Rhinolophus ferrumequinum: one gene and its partner. The protein of the gene in region 2 purifies or fractionates together with the protein of the main gene of each other region. This does not show direct contact. Links are inferred from orthologs where the notes say so. Each region holds a gene or a part of one and is shown on either strand. Other genes may lie near its edges.

Evidence for each region. The genes of interacting proteins can lie anywhere in the genome.
Region 1: the proteins of PPP2R1A (region 2) and PPFIA1 purify together in Homo sapiens (affinity purification with mass spectrometry; 7 studies listed by BioGRID and IntAct, with this or other methods). This does not show direct contact. The link is inferred for Rhinolophus ferrumequinum from reciprocal best matches to the Homo sapiens genes PPP2R1A and PPFIA1.

The regions. Positions count from the first base shown.
Region 1 is NC_046294.1:3,076,656-3,080,401, forward strand, and holds the start of PPFIA1 (liprin-alpha-1), read right to left. Parts: upstream 2,299-3,746; 5' UTR 2,081-2,298; intron 817-2,080; coding exon 553-816; intron 1-552. UniProt on the Homo sapiens protein: May regulate the disassembly of focal adhesions. May localize receptor-like tyrosine phosphatases type 2A at specific sites on the plasma membrane, possibly regulating their interaction with the extracellular environment and their association with substrates.
Region 2 is NC_046298.1:46,566,994-46,570,739, reverse strand, and holds the start of PPP2R1A (serine/threonine-protein phosphatase 2A 65 kDa regulatory subunit A alpha isoform), read right to left. Parts: upstream 2,396-3,746; 5' UTR 2,249-2,395; coding exon 2,171-2,248; intron 1-2,170. UniProt on the Homo sapiens protein: The PR65 subunit of protein phosphatase 2A serves as a scaffolding molecule to coordinate the assembly of the catalytic subunit and a variable regulatory B subunit.

The DNA of each region.
Region 1 (3,746 bases), on a different chromosome or scaffold from region 2:
ATCTGCCAAGGAGAAGGCTACAAAGGAATCCATCTCCAGTATTCTAGTCCCTAAACCAAATTTGATTTACAAAACACAGGTGTTCTGACGAAGGTAGGCTGTAAAAATATTTTTCCTGTGAAACCAATCCTATTTGTCCATTGAATGTCATTAGGAAACTGGAAATACAAGATACAATCCATGGGACATACACGTTTAGCACAAAATGCCTTAAGACAACAATCGAAAGGTACCACATAGCTGCTTCATGGCCCATTTTCAAAAACTTTGGAGAACTATCCCAAATCTAGGCAGTTCCTTCTGCTGCCTCGAAGAAAGGAACGCGAGTCATGAGGTGTTTTCACACAACTTTAGAGGACCACAGAGTTTGTTCTCCCTAAGGGTAATCCTCAGGACCTTCATGTATACGTGACTGACGTACAAATGCCAGAGCCATTTCACAAATGATTGTGCAAAATACTCATCTAAAATATCAACACCAAAGAAAACGACACCATAAAAAAAAATTAGTGGAAAAAAAAGTGTAAAGCTGCCCGTGAAAAGCATCCATACCTGTGGAAGTGCAGTGTTGAGCTGCCTCTGCAAGGAATCTCTTTCATGACCAACCTCGTGTAATTTCCCCTGGGTTAATGCCAGCGTTTCTTGAGTCTCTCTCAGCGTGTCAAGAAGACGGTCCCTCTCCTCCAGCATGGAGACCATCAACTGTTCAAAATGTGAATCTGCGTCTGGCTGCGAAGGGGAGCCGGACCCATGGCCCCCACTTCCTCCTGGGGGGCCTTCTGCTTCACTGATGGTCGGCATCACCTCGCACATCATCTTGAAACGAAAGACCCAGACTACAGTTATTAAGTGCCTCTCCCACAACTCTGCAAATTTACAGCCATCTGTAGCTAAAAAAAATGAAAGGCTGACGACCTCTTTATTCTCTTTATTCTCTGATGCCCTGAACATCAACAAGCTGGGAAAACATACACACGCAAATCCTAGGTGATGGAACATACAAGATAAAGGAAGACACAGACAGACAATAATTCAAGGAAGGGATAAAGACCAAAGACTACCCCTCGCATAAAGAACAAACCCTTGGTATTTTGTTTGCAGGGCTGTACTTCTAGTTGTTGAAAACAAGTGTGCTTCTGTAACCTATTTTTTTTTCCTATTTCCCGGTGGGGGAGAGAAAGTCAAAACACGTGCCACCCAATCACTTTTCAGGCAAAGCACAGAAGGCGCATACAGCCAGTAAAACTGACAAGTACAAAATCCATCAGGCATCTTACAGGAATGTGTGCAGTCAGCCCCTGGGAGGAACTGACGGCTCCCTGAAGGCTCGGGCTGGGTCTGGGGAGCCCTAAAAGGACTGGATTCGTTAAGGGTTGGGAGAGGAGTTTTTCAACGGCTGTAGTGGTTGGTCAGACAACCTAACTTATGTAAGTTAACAGAGCAAAAAAAAAAAAAAATTCCACAATGGAAACAGAGACGGTCGATACAGCCGTGGACGGCGAGGAAGGAAGGAAAAGTGAAAGATGAGATTTTGAGAGGCGACTAAGTGTCTCATCTATAACGATGGGGCGAGGAGCAAGGGAGCCGGTTCCTGAGGCTGCCGGCGGTATCCCGGGCTTGGCGGACCCCCGAGAGGGAGATGCCCGACACCGCGCACCGGATGGCGGTAACCTCCACCCACTCCCACCGCCCCTGGCGCTGCAGAGACCCCAGACCCCCGCCAGGATGGTGAGAACCACCTACAACAGCAGCGCTGCCTCGCTTGGGGCTTCCAGCGGCCACAGGTGCTTGTCCCCGGCGCCGGGGTCACCCGGGCGCCAGGGTCAGGGTTGGGGGCAGCGGGCGGTCCCAACAGCCCGTCCCTGAGGGCAGGGGCGCGTCGTCCGGGAGTCCCGGGCACTCGCAGAGCTCTCCCACCGGGCCCGGCGCCGCGGGCCTCGTCGCCAGCCCCCGCCCTCCACCCCCGGGGTGCACCCTTCACCCCGCGCTGACAGGAATCGGCCGCGCAGCCGCCGCGGGACGGGCCGGCGCCTGGGGCTCCGCTCCGCCCCGAGCCTGCCTCAGTGTCCCGCTGCCTTACCTTGCTCGCCGGCGGGAGCGGGCGAGAAGGCTCCGCGGCGGCTCGCGGGCGGCCGCTCGCTCCGGGCGAGCTTGGAGCCCGACGAAGGCAGCCCGCGCCCGCGCCCGCCGCCCGCCCCGCGCCCGCGGCCCCGGGCCCGCTGCCCCCAGTCACTAAGGCCGGCCCGCGGCCGGACACTGGCGGAGTGCAGGAGGAGCGGGCCCGGCTGCGCGACGCCGGCGTCAACGTGCCCGACGTCGGGCGCGACGGCACAGCGTCAGCGCCGAGCGCCGCCGACCCGCCCCGCCCCCCAGGAGGGGCGACGGGGAAAGGGCCGCGGCTGCCGACTGCGCAAGCGCCGCCTCCACAGGTGGGTGGGCTGCGCCTCCCGGGCGCCGATTGGATGGGCGCGGCCGGAGCCCCGCCCCTCCAGGCCCCACCTGTGTGCGGTCGCCTCGGCCCAGCAGTGGCTTCGGGCTCTGGTCCTCGTGCGCCGTCCGCATCTTCCACCTCTGGGCTTCCCCAAATTCTCCACCCACGGCGCGGGGACGCCAAAGCCGTTACTGAGCGTCTACTGTGCATCAGGTTCTGAGCCAGACACCTGCCCGACGTCACGTCTACACACCTTACGGGGGCGCGCGCCCGGGGGGAAGCCACCGGCTAGCGACAGGTCGGAGCCCGCGGTGTCACCTCCAGAGCCTCCTGGGAGCTGAGCCATGAGGACTCGGAAGGACGCGGTTTCTACGAAGACCCATTGGCCGAGCTCTACCTGCTGGGTTGGCAGAGACGGGCAGCGTTTGATGCTGGGGCTTCGGGGGCAGGGTCGAGAGGGCAGGCTTTGGAGCCAGGCACACCTGGTTCAACTGCCAGCAGATGCTTCTCCCTGCGATGTGTGCCTGGGCAACCGAGGGGAATTCGTCTGGGATTCACCTCATTTCTAGGGTGGGAAAATGATACAGACCTACCCCAGGGCTGGTAGCAAAAACAGAACATATGCAAAGAGCAGCTAGTCGAGAACCTGGCTGGGGAGGCGCTGTGTAGAATGGTAGTCGTTTTCATCCGACTCAAACATTTTTACGCATATTCACACTTAGGCAAGCTTTTGAAAACATCAGCTGTGTGCCACGTCCTGTGCTAGATGCCGCAGATACAGAGATTAACAAATACAGCTTTAATAAATAAAAACAGGTGCTCCGCCCTCCGGATTTGACTCCTGGAGCACAAACCTGTCACAAACCAGTCAGGGCACTGTTGCCAGGCACCAGTGGGCACTGTCCGGCGGTCCGTGGTGAGGCAGCCAGGAGCCCCTGAACTAATCGAGTTTAAGGAAAGGCTGCGTGGAAGGCTGGGTGAACCCTTTGGATTCCTTGATTCTCCACTGTGAGCCCAGCAAGTCCAGGTGCTACCTCTGATTGGCTTTCTCGCCTCCCGGAGTCCAGGACCACACCTTTTTCATTCATGTATTCATTCACTCTCGATTTATTGAGTGACTACACATCAATACGAATTTGCACCCCTGACCCAAGGTCTGAAATAGAGGAAAGTTTCCGGCTCTCCAAATATGTACCCGCTGAATTCATCCAGCTCGTATTTGCACCATGCTCCTAAAGTACCTGTCTCCTAAGAAATCGACAAAATACCAACATTTAGTTCAACAGGGTAGAATGTTCGTTTACATCTGAATGTC
Region 2 (3,746 bases):
GAGTCCCATGTCAGACTTCTGACTCTCAGAACTGTAAGATAATAAATCAGTATTCTTTTAAGCCACTAAATTTGCCTCAAGAGTTCCCCACAAGGGTTTCTCTCAATCTCACGGACATTTTGAGCAGACAAATCTTTGTTATGTGGGCTGTTCTGGGCATTGCAGGAGGTTTAACAGCTTTCCTAGCTTCTATCCACTAGATGCCAGTAACATTTCCCCAGTTGGGACAAGCAAAAACATCTCCAGACATTACCAAATGTCTCCTGATGGGCAAAATCACCATGGGTTGAGAACTGCCATTACCTGTCTGCTCTCTCTTCCTGGAGGGCTCTTCACCACCTTCCTGGAGCTGGCTCCTTCTTCTGGTCTCACCTTAAACTCTGTGTCCTCAGAGGGAGCCCTCTCTGATTGGCCTACTTAAAACGATCTTTCCCACCCCACTTCCTGCCTGCTGTGTACTCTGCCCAGACAGCCTCCTGGCTTCTTCCCTTGTGGCCTTCAGATCTTTGCTCAAACATCACCTCTCAGCAAGGCCTTCCTGGACCACTCTTTACAATTGCACCCCCCACCCCTCTTCATTTTTCTCTTTAGCACTTATCCTCATGGAACATACAACACATTTTACTCATTGTCTTGTTTATTATGTTTCCCCTCACTAGAGCATAAGCTCCACAAGGCCAGGAGTTTTGTGTCTTGTTCCGCTGTGTAACTGTGCCTAGAGCAGGGCCCTGCACAGAGCAGAAGCTCCAAAAATAGTTACTGACTCATTATCACAATATCCTGCCATTTCCTTCCCATCACATCTAACACGCGTTAATGTAGTCACCTGTCTCACATCTGTCTCTTGTAGGAGACATCTGTCTAGTATAAAAACTGGTGTCATCATTATATCCACAGCACCATACCTGCTATGTGGCAGGTGTTCACTGAACAGATGAGTCCGTACAACAGTCCTATGAACTAGATAATGACCTCCGTTTAAAACAAAAAGGAAACCAAGTCTTGGTGACCTTAACTAAGTGGCTCATGTCAATCAGCAAGCGGAAGAGCCAGCTGCACAACCGCAGCCTGTCTGATTCCAGAACCAGAGTGATATACCCAGACCCTCAGAGGCTGGGCCCCGGGCAAACCGGCTCAATTTTATAAAGAAGGAAATTGAGGCCCAAAGGGAGATGGGACCTCTCCAGTCACCACTCCCAAAAATTACAGCTAAGATTTATTGGGCTATTACAACACGCTAGACATGGTTCTCTTTTACTTGTATTATTAACTCGTTCAGTTCCTCCAACACCCAGCAGAGAGGCCGGAACTATTATTAGCCCACATTTTATGGAAAACAGAGGCCCAGAGCAGTGAAGTAATTTGCACAAGGTTACGCGGCGGGTGGGAAGTGGAGCTGGGGTGGGCAAACCGCAGAGTCCTAACTCTTCTCAATCCCTTGCCAGCCGGGCTCAGGGCCCTGGGCCTCCCCATCCCACTCACCAGAAATGTGTCAGCCCGTCTAGTAAACTGCCCACCCCCCAGACAATGAGAGGATCCCAGAAGCGGGGCGGGTTTCCACCTCTTAATTCACTCCTAAATTTAACGAATTCCCTCTTGGGGTGGGGTGTTTTCGCCCTCGATCCCCTTTGTCGGGGCTACACCAAATTTGGAGGGGGACGGCGGGCAGGAATTGGAAAGGAAACCTTCGCCTCTCAGTCCCCATCTGGGGTTTACCCCACAGCGCTGAGGCCCAGCCGCCGAAACCCAAAAAGGAAGAATCCTACCTGGGTCCCAATAAACCAGGTGGCCCCTCCCCCACTCGGAGCTACTCACGCGCCCTCCCCATCCCAAAGGGGCCCTTCAGGGGTCACCGCCAATCACCGAATCCCCGGTCTCCCTAACCCAGCCCGCCGGCCCCCTCGCGGACCGCGGCCTCCCAGACCCTGGGCCGCCGCGCGCACTTTGCAGGCCCGGGATCCTCGGCCTCGCTCCCGCCCTCTGGAGGGCCGACACCCAATCCCGGGCGCCGTATCACCGAGTCTGGGGACCCAGGGAGATGAGAGGTGGACGCTGATTGGCTGCCGCCCTCTTCCGCCACTCCCAGCGAACTGCGACTTTACTCCGCGAGGGCCGCTCGTGCCCCCAGGTCCCCCTTCCCGTTTCCCCAAGTCCCCCGTGGCCTCCGAACCTGAACATCCTCGTTGCGGAGCTCGTCTATGAGCACCGCGATGGGGTAAAGGGAATCGTCGCCGTCGGCCGCCGCCATCTTGGCTGCGTCCCGTTCCTGTCAGACTGCGGTTAGCACGGTGCTGACTCGGGGCTAGGGAGGGGCAGGTCCGAGAGGAGGAGGGAAGGCGAGCGTGGGGGCGACCGAGCCACTCTACAGGGGTTGCCCCACCGTCATTGGCCGCCCTACTCCCGGCCAGACCCGTGTTTCTTTGGTCCGAACAAATGAAGTCCCGCCTATTGCCCATTTGCCATTGGTGGAAGGGCCTGTCGGAGCCAAGGACGACGGAGGAAGGTAACGGAAGTACGTGGTATCTTAGCGACCAAGATTGTACCCGCCTACGTCGCCACTAACAACGGCCCAGACGAGCAGTTGTTTGTAGCCAATGAGGGACAGGATTGGACGAGGTGAAGCCTGCCCTTCTGAGAGTCCTGGAGAAAGTTTCTGCGCGTGCGTCGTAAGGAATGCATAACGTCTTGGGACCGAGGCAGTCTGCAGGTTTTCGCTTGTGAGATACCGGCCAGGTTGGCTGGAAGGCGGAATCCGTGCCATTGTGCTGGAGAAGGAGGGTGTGAGTCTTTGATTTATGCCTTATTATGCCGACGCCCCCGAAAAGGGTGGCGACTTGCCTTGATGTCTGGATTAAAAACTAAACCCTTGAGGCTGGTCTTCAAGACCCTGCGCGTCTCATTTTTGAGCCCTCCATCTCCCATCTCCCCTTGTTACATTTGCACCGACCTGGAAAATTAGAGCCGCCTGAGCACATCATACTTTTTCATTCCAACAAGACTTCGCCGAAACTGTACCTCCTACTTGGAGAGCTTTTCCTTTTCAATTGTCAGATCTTTACATCAATGTCTCTCCTTCCCTGCCTCTTCAGGCTTGGCCCTCAAGCCCCCAGATAGCCTCTGCACAGAAACAGGCTTAATCAGGAGGTTGATTCTGGCCAGACTTTCAAGAACAGGGCCTTACCATGGACGTCGAAATGATAACCCAGACGATTAGTTCAGCACTGCAATTAGTTTCAACACTTCACAGCCACCAGAGAGGGTCGTCTTTAATCTGCCAGTCTATAGTTTTCCTAGTGGCACCCTAAACAGCTAGACCACTGGCAGGAGTCCGGATATCTGAGATCTGACCAGTGAAGGGAACAACCACATCTGATTTCACTTCTGCACACCTGACACTGAAACTAAACAGCCACGGTGGCCCCAGGAGACACCATTAGGTGTCAGTTTAAACCACCAGTGAACCCAAGTCCTGCATTTAGGGGAATTGCAGAGGATTAGGGTTCCTGCTACTAGTGGCTTTGGCTGCAGTGTGGAGATTAAATGTTCCTCCAAGGTGACAGGTACCACCTATTCTTGCAAAAAAACATACATGTCACTGGGGCCAGCCTTGCTTCATTTTTGAATTTTCACTTTACGTGACACGCAGGACTTTTTAGACCCTACTTCTCTTGTGGGTAGTGAAGTCCAAGTTAACTCATTCCAAAATTGGAATATCAAGCCTGTTAAAAAGGAGAGAGCAGGGCCAA